2 linked regions of the Mytilus edulis genome follow. The protein of the gene in region 2 purifies or fractionates together with the protein of the main gene of each other region. This does not show direct contact. Links are inferred from orthologs where the notes say so. Each region holds a gene or a part of one and is shown on either strand. Other genes may lie near its edges.

Region 1 (8,543 bases), about 30 Mb from region 2:
TTTGCTCACATAAATTCTGTAAATGAGATTTAAGATACATGTAGTACAAATGTATTTAAAAATTTTGCTAATTTAGTTTGCGAACTGGGAATATACACATTGAAGACCTGTTGGTGACCTTCTGCTGTTGTTTTTTTCTATGGTCGGGTTGTTGTCTCTTTGGCACATTCCCCATTTCCATTCTCAATTTCAAATATTAAATTGCCATCATAGAAAATTGTCTGCTTTTTTAAATTTACCCTATACTTAAAACATGTAAAAGAGTTTAAAATTCATATACAAGGAGATTATCAAATATATAGGTTTTGCAAATAGAAATGAACAAATTATCTGTTTTTCCGTTTTTCTACGTACTATAGCAGTGAGTCACATTGTAAATCTATTTGACAACTAAATGCACCAAATAAGCAAAAAAGCTTATATCCTAAGAGGTCTTTATGAGTTTTCTGCTGTGATATAAGTAAGGTCATAGGGCTAGGCATGATACAAGAATTACAGAGCAACTGAAAATATTCCTAGGTAAGTGGTGATAATTATCAATTATCTCCCTTAAGTATTCTGTAATTCTTGTATCATGCCTATGACCTTAATAGAACAGAACTTATCTCACAGTGGAAAACTCATAGGCAATGTGTAACAATGAGAAAGGCTTAACCTGTCGCCATCAACAGTTGCTCTGTAATTCTAATTGCATGCCAATTGAGAGTTTATATATCCAAGATGAGATACTGTTCTCATTTCTACAGTTAAAACAAAGAGAGATGTAAAAACTTACTGCTTGCTGTGGTGGTAGTTTTGATGTGAATGGTAGATCATCTTGAACACTGTGTGGTGGAGGTACCTCTGGCAAATCTTTATAATTGTCCATGGCTGGTAGAAATATCAAGCAGTCATTGATGCCTGGTATACTCTTATCCTCTGTTAACCAAGACCTTAAAGGTTCTAATGTTGATGGCAAAGGTCTAAAAGTCAATCATATTGTTGCAGTATTAAACAATTTTAGTGCAAATGTTTATTCTTAAGTTTGAGTCAACTTAGCAAAAACACAAAATGAGAATAAATAAATTCCTAATTCTACATGAGCAGTATAAATGATTGAACTATTGTAATGAATATCCATGAAGTAGCGGTTCATAATGCAAATAATAATGCATTTCATTTATGAAATCAAGTGAAATTTCTATTTGTATGTTTAATAACGAGTATTAAATAATGAGTTGAAAAGTTGTCATAAATTAAACACAATTTAGCTATATGAGTATTACACATTTTTGTCCCCCCCTCATTTATTTATTTATTTCTCTTTCCAACACAATAGAATCTGCTGCACTATGTTGAGAATACTGAATAACTATGCAAGATATTAAAATATACCTGAGGTTATCTTCGACTTAAAATTTGAGTTTTACATGGGAGATAACTCACACCCTTTCCAATAAAATCTGCAAAAGCTGTCACATAATTTCACTATTATTGCAAGCATTCTATATAATCACTAAAAACTTATAACCTGACCAACACATACACATATGTATATTATTACTTTGAAAAAAAGTTACAAAGCCAAGTCAATATGGTATCCTTCCACTTGTTACGTTTTCTCATTTTTGCTACTGACATCTAATATTTTAATACATGAAGTTTAAACAAAATTAGGCAAAATTCTATGAATTGATTAACTGATTTTTACCCTCTGTGGCTGTAAATATTTAATAGATTTTCAACCCAGCTGTATATCATTGAGTATGTAATTTTTCTTTGCTAAATTGTGATTATTTTATCTTTGTATAATGCGAGTAGATTTTGCTGTTTATAAATCATTAGAATATAACAGACTGTAATCTTTGTCCAGAGTCATATATATTCATTTATAACAAGTAATATATACATGTACCTTCCTATAAATTTCTCTCAAACAGATACTTTCATCAAATAATGTGTGAAGTAATAACTTGGCATACAAAGTTCAGATGAAAATCAGTCAATTTATTCAATTACAGTACTTTAGTAAAGCAATGAAGTCACTCAAAATGTTATAACACAGAATGACCTGTACATTGACTGCAAGTTCTCTATGTAGATGAAAAATTAGAAACATTCATAAATCACTGACTGCAAACTAATAATCCTGGCAAAATGTATCATTCATAATTTATTGTACTCCTCTTAAATTAAGTAACTTTGAATCATTTGATATAACTATTGGCATATACAATGTATGACTTATAAAAACAATTATTAAAAAAAACAGATTTTCTATTTTAAGTTGATCATTTTATTTTTATTTTACCAAGGCACAATATTTTCAAATGTTATTTATGTAATAGGATCAAATTTGTATTACATTGTACTTAACACTAATCAATGTATATGATAGTTAAACTTGATGACAAACCACAAAATAAAACAGCTAGAAAAAATATCACAAGGGTTTTCGCCATCATATCAATTTCTATCCTTAACAATCATAACAATGAATATGCTATAACATTCAGTCAGTTGTATTGGTATGTATTATCTGTTATCTAACGTATACATGTAGCTGTTCAAGTGATCCAATGGGAAAGCAACTCAAGTATAAATCTTAATAACTTTAAAACAGACCACTGCAGTACAATTTGATCTAAACAGCAGAGCTATTATGTGATCATTTTAACAATTTCATACAAACCTTTCTTGTTTTATCAAAACTGATGGTTTTCTAAGATCATATTTAATATCTTGTGGTTGTCCATCATTGTCTGTCCCAAAAATAACCTGATGAGAATTTAGACCATGTACCATAGGTTTTATTGATGGACCAGCTGTGATTAAGACTGGAGCCTCTGATGCGTGGTTAAGGGTCAGTGGAGGAACTCTATTGTCAGCCAAACCAGGGAGAAAAGGTTTTGTATCATCTGACACATATTTTTCTTTAGAATTCAATAAATAATGATAAGTAGGATATGGTGCATTGTCTCCAATGTCAACTACTGGTACCTCTTTACCACCAACTGGTACCAGTTCCATGCATGTGTTTCTTGATGAACCATGAACAGGCTCCACTGATACATTGTCACGTGCATGTTTTGTTCTTGGTGGCTTCGATGATAAACTCTCTAATCTGGCTTTAGCACTGAAAGGTCTTCTGCGTGGAGCACTTTTTTCTTGCTTTACTGTAGTTTTACTTACATCCAAATTATTCTTAGTGTCTACACAAATACTTTCTATTTGTGATCTTTTACGAGGATCAGCAGACCATGCTTGTCTTTGACTAGTGGTGATTTGCTTTTCTTCATATAATTTATTTGTGAATGTTGATGGAAAAAGGTTACTTCTGTTATGAAACTTTGGTATCATATGATTCGGTTTTGGAGGCAATCCAGTAACTGTAAAAAAAGACAAATAAAACAGGTTTCTGCAATATTATTTTATTTATAAGTTTTATATTTACTTCAAACAGCTCTCTTCATATTTTATACCAAAGATATAGGTGAACTTGTTTCAGGAAAAATCAGGAAAACATGTAATATCATTTTAAATTTCACCTGTAAATATGTTTTTAATGAGCACCATATTGAATGACTTTCCATTTCAACAATGTACAAAAAATGTAGATGTACATTGTAGATGATCATGACTGTTGATAACTATGTTCATAATGTATTGAGATCTTGGTGTGGAAAATGTTACATTAACTGCCAAAAATAGTGACCATGGTGATATGTGCCCTATACTATATTCTACTGTAAGTTACAAACTAAATTCCTAAGTACTACATGTATTTAATTGGCTTTGGTGGTTAGTCACCATATTGAAACCTACAATGTATATTTTCACAAAATAACAAGTCCTCACTTTTTTTGCCAGGGTATTTCAACATGATATTTATTTTTGTTTATTTTAGTACAGAGAATTCAGAAATAATTTATTAAAGAAAGTTTCATACATTTGTATATACACCAGTTCCAAAATACAATATTTGGTTATACATGTACATGTATCCCTTATATGTGACTTTCATTCCCATGTGATCAAAATGTAGGCATCATCACTTCAAACACATACATGTACATAATGTATTGGGATACTAATAGGTAAATAATTTGATGCTGTACTGCCCAAAATATTCAGGAAATCAAAATCTAATTAGTTAGTCACCCTCTCTGCAGTTGTATAGAAATTTAGATTATGTACTTACAGAACATGAATAATTTCTAGACTACCCTACAGAATGACAATCCTGAAGATGCTTGAAACTTTAATAGTGCAGGGAGACAGTCACACCTTCTATTTGATAAATAATGTCATAATGCGAGTGCGTAATTGATGATCTTTTCCAGTGAAAGACACAAGTAAAAAAAATAACCTATTCCGATACGGCACTTCCATTAAAGGGTTTTCAGTTGTATCTGTCATGTGACTTCCATCACCACGTGACTAAAATGTAGGCATCGTCACTTCCAACGCATATTGAGAAAATGGGTGAAAAGGTTCGATTAAATTTTTTTGGATCTTAGCCTACTTCTTCCATAATGACTTAGAAAAATAATTCACTTTTAAGAAACTAAAAGGTGGAGTGAACATGACTGAACACAAATCAAAATCCGTTAACGGAGAATATCTAACAATTGGCAAAAGCGGAGTAACTAGAACAGATTTGAAATTGTTGATCTTTTCAGGTAAGACATGATTCCAGATATAACGGATTGGAAAATAAAGTAGGAATATATCAAAATTAAATCAAATATGATATATGAAGTCAATGAAAGAGAAAACAATAACACTCAATTGACAACCTTATTGGTTTAACTAGGTAAAACATGAATCTTCTGAAGATTATCATCAGACAGTTTAATTCTGCTGAAACTTAACAAAGCAAATGATATTAAGTTAAAAATATACACACCTGCAGTGACATCAAATGTCTTTACAGTAGCCATGTTGTTTACATATTTTCCATGGTTCCGGAAGTCGTTTTTATGAAATTGTCTAAAATAAGATATATCATATACAAATTTCCTTGATTATGTAACAATAAAAGTTATGTGTTTAACTTCATATTTTGATACCGAAAACTAACTTGTTCCTGCAAGTGCGACAGTTTCGAACAAAATATGACTTCTAAATCATAACTGTGTTTAGCATTCACTGGTTTATGAATTATACTATAAAGCGTTTTGTTGACGCAGGTGAACAAATTCAGCTTTTGCAAGTCAGCTGTCTGCTAATAGTTATTTGTAGAAAATTACTAATATTTTCATTTTCAAAACTATTCCTCTGAAATACACAACAAAAATGGCTAGTTCCAAGCATAAGCCAATTGTAAGTTAAGCACGATGTTATAAAAACAATAGAGACAAAATTTATAGGGCTCTAAATACCAATCAGATATTCATATATTTTATGATTAAATCCGTTTATAAATGCTCTTTTTTAAATCCAGAAAAAAATATTTCATCGGTATGTTATCACATCACAATGGAATATATCATATGTTATGTTTGTGAAACAAATGTGATAGGTGGCGGTCGTGTTGTAGGTTTTTTCCTAAAATATGATTCCCAGAAACTGAAACTGAACAATTCTGTATACAAGATATTTTATGGTGCCAATCACAGCACCTATTACTAAGCAGAATATCATTGTAATTACTAAACAAAGTACAATACAATATATATATGATATTTTGAACTAAATAGAATAACAAAATAACTGGATATTTAGGAGATAACTGTATGGTATTTTAAGCTCCGATGGCATCAATTGGGGATTTGATGGTCGCAAATTAAGTTTACTGGCCATGCGTTAGCGGAGACAGTAAACTGGTATTTGCGACCATCAAATCCCCAATTGATGCTGTTGGAGCCTAAAATACAATATTGTTATCTCCATTCTAATGAAACTGACAGAAAACAACGTTTAAACATGTATTTAAAATCTGTCATATGCTGTCTGCACTTGCGCATACATCCCATAGCATCAATTGTCAATTGATGCCATGTAAATAAGTGATGCTATCCATAATCCAATCAAAATGAACGTTACAAACGTTGTTGCACTAGAATAATGATTAGATATTGGAAGATGTGGTGTGAGTGTCAATGAGACAACTCTCCATCCAAATGACAATTTATAAAAGTAAACCATTATAGGTCAATGTACAGCCTTTAACACAGAGCCTTGGCTCACATGAAACAATTAGCTATAAAGGGCCCAAAAATTACTACTGTAAAACCATTCAAATGGGAAAACCAACGGTCTAATCAGTAATCCATATAAAAAACGAGAAACAGGTATGAATTACATAAAACAAACGACAACTACTGTACATCAGATTCCTGATAGTATGATGGCTATAGAATAAGGTTTAATTAATTTATACATTTAGAATTATGACTGGGAAAATACTTACATTACCCTTACATACATGTATATGAAAAAAGTAAGATCACAAAAATACTGAACTTAGCTAGAGGAAAATCAATTCTGAAAGTCCATAATCACATGGCAAAATCAAATAACAAAACGCATAAAAAACGAATGGACAAGAACTGTCATATTTCTGACTTGGTACAGGCATTTTCAAATGTAGAAAATGGTGGATTAAACCTGGTTTTATAGGGCTAACCCTCTCACTTTGATGACAGTCTTGTCAAATTCCGTTATATTTACATTGATGTGTAAACTAAACAGACACAATAAATAAAATAGTCAAAATATGGGTACATCAGTCATCATCGTATAGCAATTTTAAAAGGGACAATTTAACAGAACTCTAAAACATCTATCTACAAACACATTCATTGATTTGTGTGTCTGATGTCAGAAATTTTTTTTATACGTCACATAAATTTGTCGTTCATTGTGCATGCAAACAATTTTAAAATTTACATAGGCAATGTTAGCATATAGGGTTAAAAAATCAAAAGTATGTAAGAATAAATATCAGAAATAGACCGAGATTGAATATAGTCCAAAAGTTATATATATACAGAATTTATAAGAATCCACACATTCCACTACGCGATTGAATGATTTTGACGTTTATGGTTCAACGTAGTTTGTAATTCATAATAGAAATATATCATAATGACATAAACTAGAACAATATCATACTGATGATGTACTTCTCAAGACACAATTTGATTATGGCGTTATAAAAGCGTTGTCCATAGGCAGATATTTCAAGTCCTTTTACAACAAAATACAAACTATGCAAATGTCATGCACATTTTGACTTCATTTCAGAACATTTACATGACATAACGCCCAATTTGCCACGTAAATTTTTTTTCAGCTTATAGATGAACACAAAACACTCCTTTTGTAAATAATTTTAGTGTAAAGGTTATGATTTATATTTTGTTGACATGTATGAGTCCGTTAATATTAATGCAATTTTATTACTTTATTGAATTTATTAGTATTGCTTCCTACATGTACATGTTTATAAACCATGTATTGAAACTAAAAACTTAAATTTCATTTTGCTTTTATGATCAGTTTAATCTTTTCTTTTTGTATTAGTTTGTATTAGGTTGAATTACTACATGTACTCTAACGTTATTAATGAACAGTCACATGATCTTTAATTTCTGTGCAATTATAACAAACTATGATAAATAAGTTCTACTTTTTGTGGTAGGTTGTTCGTATTCAGTCTCCTGAGCATGGTACTAAGAGAGTAGAAGCTAAATCCTCAGAGTCTGTTGCAGACTTCCTAAACAAGGTGAGTATATATGCTCTTTTGTTTCAATGTTGGAAAGTTCCTGGCGGAAAGAACTTAGTAGCCGAAAAGTTCCGAAGGAACTTATTAACTAGTTGCTTTGTTCTTCCTCTGGTTTAAAAGTTCCACCATAACAAAGTGACTAGTTGAAAAGTTCAAAAGTAACATATCAACTAGTTCGAAAGTTCTTTTTTGCCAAATTAGTCAAAACCGGAACTCACAAACTAGCCCAAAAGTTCCAACCAGTCACAAAGTTTCATTTGGAGAAGTGATACAAAGTAAAAGCGTATCATATTATACATATATTTGAACATTTCAAAGGGAAACCAAGATACTGATTACAAAAGTCAAAAGGAACATCATCTAGCCACAAAGTTCCTCTTTGGCAAATAAGTCAAAACCAGAACTAACAAACTAGCCCAAAAGTTCCAACAGAACTTATTAACCAGTTACAAAGTTCCATTTGGAGAATTGATGCAAAGTAAAAACGCAACATATTACCTTTGAACCTTTGCAAAGGGGAACAAAGGTGTCTTATATACTGATCCTCATTCTTCCCTCTCTTCATTATTATGGTACTTAATTCGATCAGAATGTTGCCTTCATGATAATGGAATAAGTTCTAATTTATTGTTATACATTAATCTGAAATTGATATTTTTAAAAGTACCCACATGAGGAGGGGGATTCTTCCCTCTCTTGAGGATACTATGAATACTAAATTTGCATGATAATGCAACTTATTTCCTTTGCTACATTGTTCCGTGACTTTTCAACAAGCAACTTTTTAGCTCACCTGGCCATCGGCCAAGCAACCAAGACGGCCGCCATGGCT
Region 2 (7,975 bases):
GTCAGTCATGCGATAATCGTACAACAATCCTGAGTTACTTTGGGCTATTTGGTTTGAGTGGCAAGTGAACATTTCATTTACATCTTATCTGTGAACTCATATGACCTGTAAATGTGAGTACCATTTAATCCAGGTGCTCCGCAGGGCGCAGCTTTATTCAACTGCAGAAGTCGAACCCTGAACAGTTGGGGCAAGTATGGACACAACATTCAAGCTTGATACAGCTCTGAATTTGGATTGCGATAAAAAAAATTGACATGATATGAGTTTCTGACACAAAACAAATGTCAAGATCTTCCAAATCTATTACGCAATATTGTGCAATTAAAGATTTCTTTTCAAAAATTTGGAATTTGAGAATTTGAAAAAAAATATTTGAAAACTGTAACCTTCCCTCCCCCTTTTTTGGCAATTAGTCCAAAACCTGACATTTCTTTATACATAATATACAAGTAGTGTAAGGGAGGTAAATTTGAACATACCCAACATTGTATGTTAAATGTTTTAGAATTACCTCCCTTACACTGCTTTTAAAATGTCTTAATTGTCCATTGACCAGAAATACCTAGTTTTTCCCCTTTTTTGCCCCTAATTCCGAAACATTTTGAGCCATAACCCCCAAAAGTCAATACCAAACCATCCCTTCATGGTATAGAAACTTGTGGTATAATTTCAGAGAGATTCATCCACTACAAAAATGATTATTTTGGGCCCCCTTTTTGGCCCCTAATTCCTAAACTATTAAGGACCATAACCCCCAAAATCAATCCCAAGCTTCCTTTTGTGGTTATAAACATTGTGTTAAAATTTTATTGATTTCGGTAACTTAATCAAAAGTTATTATCCGGAAACAATCCGTCTTCGAAAAACGCTAACGACGACGGCGAAGACGTGATACCAATAAACGACTAAATTTTTTTTAATATTTGCGGTCGTATAAAATTCAAATGTTATTCCAGTGTGTGAAATGCGTTTTGATATGTTTTCCTTTTGTTACAGGGATCAGGATAGGCAAGAGGTACAAAAGCATGTAGACCTCCTACGACATATAAAGAGAGAGTTTCAGAAGAGCGTCAATGACCCTCATGTCATGAAGTACAGGGCTACTTGGATATGGAAACATATGGCATCACCAGGAAGAGGTTCAGGGAAGCCCAGTCGTTTTTCTTCAAGGTCACCTCTTAGTGGGCCATTGTTGAAAATGCCTGCATCCAATGCAGATCCCTCTGCCCCAACGTCTGCTCACAGAAACTTGTAGCTACTGTCGACCACTCAAAGCAGGACTATAGAAAAGTAACCCTTGTAAATGTAGTGCTTGGTTCTGATGTTCTTTGATGCCTTGATAGCCACATGTTTGCCATGGGGATAATTCCTGCGAGCTCAAAATCTGTCTGCCACTTGACACCATCCATGGTGTGCTTGGGGTCTGCATCGTCTCGCCAAGATATTCATCAATGATAGCCTGCGCAACCTTCGGAATGAACCCTGAGATGGTGTTGTGGGGACACGAAAGGAGAATATTAGGCTGCTGTAACTGTTCCCTGTGGCCATATAGCGCAGGGTCATGGACCATTGGTCAGCTTCAGTCCAGACTCAAGAGGGGTGCAGCAGCCTCACAGTCGACCCTTGATGATGCATTCGGTGTTTTCTACACTGTTAACAGGCTTAAATCAACAATAACAGGACCATATTTTGCTCTTGTTGGAGTCCGGCAAGGGGCCTATTCAGCAGGGCCAAGCATTATCGTTCTGGTGGAATAGCCATCCTCTTTATATGGCAGACGGTATATTTTTTCCAAACATTTATTCCCGCCAAGTTGTATTCTTCTAAATAAAAATAAAAATATGTTGCAAGACGAACTTACTACTGTCTTAAGACAGACAATCAATGTTTTGTGAGCATCATACAAAATTTGGTATTCGTGAGACAATTGTGTGACAGCGACTGTATCACGGTTGGCTTGCAAGGGTCTCACTAATTAGTGACAAGAAGCGTCAAGAAGAATAATTTTAGCGACAAGAAGCGACAAGAAGACTATTTAGCAACAAGAAAACATTTTTATTATTAAATATAAAGAAATATGCATTTTTTTTTTAAATATACAAGCAGAAATAAATTGATATTTTTTTATTAATAGATGAAGAAATCGAGGCACGTGTTCCTTGTTTTATTGCCACAATAACATCCAATTAACACCTTCAACTTTGTACACGCGTCAGAATATACAATCATTGTAAATAGTGAACACCTATTGAAAACTCAAGATTGTCATTAATTTCCTTTAATCTTCAATCAATATACATAAACATGATAAATATCGTGTAATGAGGCAATAAACAAAATAAAATGATGAAAAATATTCACATTTTAATTTTCTTTTCCTCTTGTTTGATTTCAGTTATTTGTATTTCACAATTTGTGTCTGTATTTTCTGAAAGTTTATTATATATATTGTACAAAGAGAGTTTTAAAAAAAAATTATAAGATAAATATATATTATTGTTTTAAAACACAAGTAAAAGCTGAGACATATGTGTATACATGGCTCTGGTAAAAGTAATATCCTAATACGACAGGGTAAACGTAATACTTGCTGTTAAACATAATAAATGATAAAATATCATGTAAATAAATGTTTTAATTTTTTTTTTATCAATATTAAATTTCTTGTCGCTAAAATTGTTTTCTTTTGCATATTCTTTTAATATTTATTCGGAATAAGTAATTTTAATAAAAAAAAAAATATTTTCTTGTCGCTTAAAATAGTTTCTTGTCGCTTCTTGTCACTAAAATAATTCTTCTTGTCGCTAATTAGTGAGACCGGCTTGCAACAGTCGTGAGATTGCTGTACGACAGTTTTGCGACAGTCTTACAATTGTTTTAATAAAATGGTTTATATTGGTACCCAGGACAATGTGTTTATCGCACAACAGTGGTAAGACTTTGGTAAGACACTCTCAAGACAGCCACAAGACAGTTGACACAACAAAAAATCGTAGATCAAAAAAGGTTCATGTCCAATTTTTGTCCCACAACACACAACAGCACCACAATGTTCAAAATATCATTCAACTGTCGAAGGACGATCACAGATTACCTACTATTTGACCAAATTGCATATGGTGGCGCTGAATAGATGTGTCATAGCTTTAGGAAAATTATGATTGTACCAACTTAGAAATATGAGAGTTGTATTTTCACTCGTTTCTGGTTGACAACGATTGATTTGGTTTTAATATACTTTCTCTTTTTTAGGAAACCATGCAGTTCGGTAATTTTGTTTTACTTTTTTACTTTTACCGGTGCGGTGTCCGAAAAAAATGTGCATGACTTGCAATTTGTAAATGACTAAATGTGTGCGTTGGAAAGACTGACATTTGAAAAAGACCACTAATTTACTATGAACATAATCAGTTTTTGAATTCTATATGGTCCTCATACCTGTAGCAACTTAGTATTTGGTGTAATTTTCACATTTTGTCGTCTTCCGTTTGGACATAGAACCTGTACAGTCGCCATTGTTGTTGTTTACAAAATGAACTTCCGGTGCTTCTATCCTTGTAAATAAATCAATTTAATTATCTATTTCAAAATTTATCAACTCTTTAAGTACAACTTCATTGCATCTAAAAAGTTTCATTTATTTTTGAGACATCGAATATTATTAGAATAGCATTATTTCAGAGTGTAATAAAATATAAAATCATGCCCCTTAGGACATGGAGATGAAGTTGTGTAATGTTTTTCAAAATGTGCTGATGTTAGTGATGGGATAAGTCTGTTTATAAAATCTCTGAGTAAATTGATTACTTTGAGATCAAATAATTGGTAATTAAGAGATTAAAGATCGGTCTTTGTAATAAAATGTTTTCATTCAGTTTAATAATTTTAACCAGTTGCAGTTTATCTTTTGTTGTTATGTTTTAGATACATTTTACTGTTAAACTTATCAGAAAATATAGGCCTATGTGTTTAAATTGTAATTAGGTGTGTCAAATAAAAGCTACACAGAACTTATGTAGAGGGATGTAAAGGTGCCGAAACATGTGAAATAAAAATCACAAAAACGTTCCACGGAAAAATATTGGAGAAAAACGAAAAAAGTACCAAAAGGTATTACTTGGCTGTTCTTGGAGATCAAACATTCATAGTTAATGGACATGAAGACCCTGTGGTTACCTCTGAGACTTAGCGTCCGATTTGAAAAGATATTATTCTAAGTAAAACAATAGGCTATTAATAAAGAGAGCAATAAATATCTTGGGACCCAGCTAATTAGTTTATTCAAAACAATGTCCAGGCTGAATTTCAATTAGTCAGGGGTTTACTTTTTAATCAATTGCGGGATAAGCACGAGAAATTAAGAATACTAACCATGCTGACACAAAACACAGAAAATAAATTAAGAAAAACATGAAAAAACAAGAAATAAAACGTCAAACAGGAAAACATGTGAAGTGAAAAGGCTGAAAGCATTGCATGAAAAATTAACCCTTTACCACCCTCTATGTAACCTGAAATGTGTGTGCACTGATCATGACTTCAAAAAAATCTTCTACGTCTAAATATTTTAACTAGCAAATAATGTAAAAAACAAAAGATACTTTTCTCTTCTATATTAAATAAATCTACTAAAACAAATACAGAAAATAAAAGAACTAGCCTGTCAATTTAAAAATCAAGGTAACTACTTTCAGTGCCATATATTAATCATTTTATAGTTCTGTTACTCATGATGAGCTGCCGCTGCTGACTGGTTTCAGGGTACCGCTTCATTATAGTTTGACAATTTATAGCAAAAAAAAAATGGCACTAAAATAAACAAAATGGGACTAAGAAATCAAGTACTAACATTCGTTTTGCATCCAAAAGCAAAATTGGAAATTCAAATAACATATACAATTTTAAGGTGTAAAAGGTTCATACTTATTAAAAAGCAATAACAGTTTAAAAAAGTTCACACATAGTAGAACTCTTCGAATATTTAAAAGATGAAATTTTGCAAAATAAAAGACACTTTTGTTCAACTTAACCTAAATTATCCTAAAATTCAAAACACTTAAACTATCAGGAGTTTTAGTTATCATAGCATCTTTTGTATCAGATAAAATGTTTATTCAGTTCATTCTTTTTTATTTTACAGATTTTATATAATATACAGATATCCAATATGGATAAGAAAATTATTTCTGGAGATTTAGATGAGCCATCAGCCATGGAGACAGATCAGCATCAAGATCCAATAGAGAAAGAGAAAGCTAAAAGCTTCCATGTCAACAGAGATTTAATACCTGTTGCACAGTTAGATGACCAAGCTTTTGATGAACTTAAAAACTTAGGACTAGATGTATTTAACCAAGAGGATTTTGAAGAAGGTATTTGCATGTAAAATCAAATTATTGCTTTATTTTTTGGCATCAAGAATGGATATTTTTTTTTCTTATATGGAACTCATAGAGATATGTTTGGTTCTTGTTTATAATTCATCAGATTGACAAAAGGATTTTGGGAAATCTTTGAAAATTGAAATACCGGTATATGAAAATGTAAGTAAATATAAATGTAGATGTTTCTGTGAATTATATTTTTTACTTCAGGTGTTATGGCACAAGTAGGAGAGGTGTTAGCAAAGGAAGAGGAAGACAGGAACAAAAAAGTTTTAGAGAAAGATCTTAGGGCTGTTGAATTTGACATAAAGTAAGTTAGCAAGACAAACAAAATGGGTAACAAGAAGTTAATCTGAATCAGTGAATGAAATTTCCATATGGTTCTAAACATTTTTTTAAACAGAAAAATTTGCACAACACTTTGTTGAATAAGACAGATTTTATGCACACAAACTGTAATAATTATATATTTATAAAGGTAATGCATCTGTGATAATACATATTCATTATAATGGATGTACAGAATATTGAAATAATATTAGCAGTACCTGAAATTTTGAAAATATGATATTTATGTATACAATTGTGTCAATTATTATTTCAGGAATGTTGAAAAAGAGTTGAAGCAGGTGACCACAGTTTTATCTTCCCTGAATACTGGCATCACATCTGCTTTTGTACAGAAAAGATTGTTAACTGTAAAGAAACAGAAGGAAAATAAGGTAGACTGTTACTGAAATACTTTTTTCTAGTTCCAATTTCCAAATCTTTCACGATAACAGGAATAACTTACAATTCTTTTTTAAAATATAAAACACACCAACCTCTAATATTTGACTTCCCCTATTAAAACTGAGTATACCATTTTTATACGACCGCAAATTTTGAAAAAATATCATGTCGGCGTCGTCGTCGTCGTCGTCGTCGTCGTCGTCGTCGTCGTCGTCCGGCGTCCGAATACTTTTAGTTTTCGCACTCTAACTTTAGTAAAAGTGAATGGAAACCTATGAAATTTTAACACAAGGTTTATGACCACAAAAGGAAGGTTTGTATTGATTTTGGGAGTTTTGGTCCCAACATTTTAGGAATTAGGGGCCAAAAAGGGCCCAAATAAGCATTTTCTTGGTTTTCGCACTATAACTTTAGTTTAAGTTAATAGAAATCTATGAAATTTTGACACAAGGTTTATGACCACAAAAGAACGGTTGGGATTGATTTTGGGAGTTTTGGTCTCAACAGTTTAGGAATTAGGGGCCAAAAAAGGGCCCAAATAAGCATTATTCTTGGTTTTCGCACAATAACATTAGTTTAAGTAAATAGAAATCAATGAAATTTAAACACAATGTTAATGACTACAAAAGGAAGGTTGGTATTGATTTTGGGAGTTTAGGTCCCAACAGTTTAGGAATTAGGGGCCAAAAAGGGACCCAAATAAGCATTTTTCTTGGTTTTTGCACCATAACGTTAGTATAAGTAAATAGAAATCTATGAAATTTAAACACAAGGTTTATGACCATAAAAGAAAGGTTGGGTTTGATTTTGGGAGTTTTGGTCCCAACATAATAAGGGGCCCAAAGGGTCCAAAATTAAACTTTTGTTTGATTTCATCAAAATTGAATAATTGGGGTTCTTTGATATGCTGAATCTAACTGTCATGACTGTGTATGTAGATTCTTAACTTTTGGTCCCGTTTTCAAATTGGTCTACATTAAGGTCCAAAGGGTCCAAAATTAAACTTAGTTTGATTTTGACAAAAAATGAATCAGTTAGGTTCTTTGATATGCTGAATCTAAAAATGTACTTAGATTCTTGATTATTGGCCCAGTTTTCAAGTTGGTCCAAATCGGGGTCCAAAATTAAACTTTGTTTGATTTCATCAAAAATTGAATAAATGGGGTTCTTTGATATACCAAATCTAACTGTGTATGTAGATTCTTCATTTTTGGTCCTGTTTTCAAATTGGTCTACACTAAAGTCCAAAGGGTCCAAAATTAAACTTAGTCTGATTTTAACAAAAATTGAAATCTTGAAGTTCTTTGATATGCTGAATCCAAAAATGTACTTAGATTTTTTATTATGGGCCCAGTTTTCAAGTTGGTCCAAATCAGGATCTAAAATTATTATATTAAGTATTGTGCAATAGCAAGTCTTTTCAATTGCACAGTATTGCGCAATGGCAAGAAATATCTAATTGCACAAATATTGTGAAATAGCAAATTTTTTTTTTAATTAGAGTTATCTTTCTTTGTCCAGAATAGTAAGCAAGAAATATCTAATTGCAAAATATTGTGCAATAGCAAGATTTTTTTTTAATTGGAGTTATCTTTCTTTGTCCAGAATCAACTTAAATCTTTGTTATATACAATATACAATGTATATTCACTTTTTACTACCAACTGATAAATTAAAATAATCTTTACCATTCAGTGATAACAAGCAGTTTTTTTACATCTTAATATTTTATGATGTATTTAAATGAGTAGTTATTGTTGCAAACTCCATTAGAAATTTTAATTGAGATTAGTTTTGGAATAAGGGAAAGGGGGATGTGATTAAAAAAAATGGGTTCAATTTTTCTCATTTGAAAT

What was found.
Region 1: the proteins of tether containing UBX domain for GLUT4-like (region 2) and nuclear protein localization protein 4 homolog purify together in Homo sapiens (affinity purification with mass spectrometry; 3 studies listed by BioGRID and IntAct, with this or other methods). This does not show direct contact. The link is inferred for Mytilus edulis from reciprocal best matches to the Homo sapiens genes ASPSCR1 and NPLOC4.

The regions. Positions count from the first base shown.
Region 1 is NC_092352.1:9,703,126-9,711,668, forward strand, and holds the start of nuclear protein localization protein 4 homolog, read left to right. Parts: upstream 1-5,155; 5' UTR 5,156-5,277; coding exon 5,278-5,304; intron 5,305-7,627; coding exon 7,628-7,711; intron 7,712-8,543. Other genes in the region: uncharacterized protein, read right to left, coding at 776-962, 2,672-3,368, 4,889-4,922. UniProt on the Homo sapiens protein: The ternary complex containing UFD1, VCP and NPLOC4 binds ubiquitinated proteins and is necessary for the export of misfolded proteins from the ER to the cytoplasm, where they are degraded by the proteasome.
Region 2 is NC_092352.1:39,218,595-39,226,569, reverse strand, and holds the start of tether containing UBX domain for GLUT4-like, read right to left. Parts: upstream 3,575-7,975; 5' UTR 3,520-3,574; coding exon 3,442-3,519; intron 1-3,441. Other genes in the region: DNA excision repair protein ERCC-6-like, read left to right, coding at 5,171-5,375, 5,598-5,697, 5,992-6,109. UniProt on the Homo sapiens protein: Tethering protein that sequesters GLUT4-containing vesicles in the cytoplasm in the absence of insulin. Modulates the amount of GLUT4 that is available at the cell surface. Enhances VCP methylation catalyzed by VCPKMT.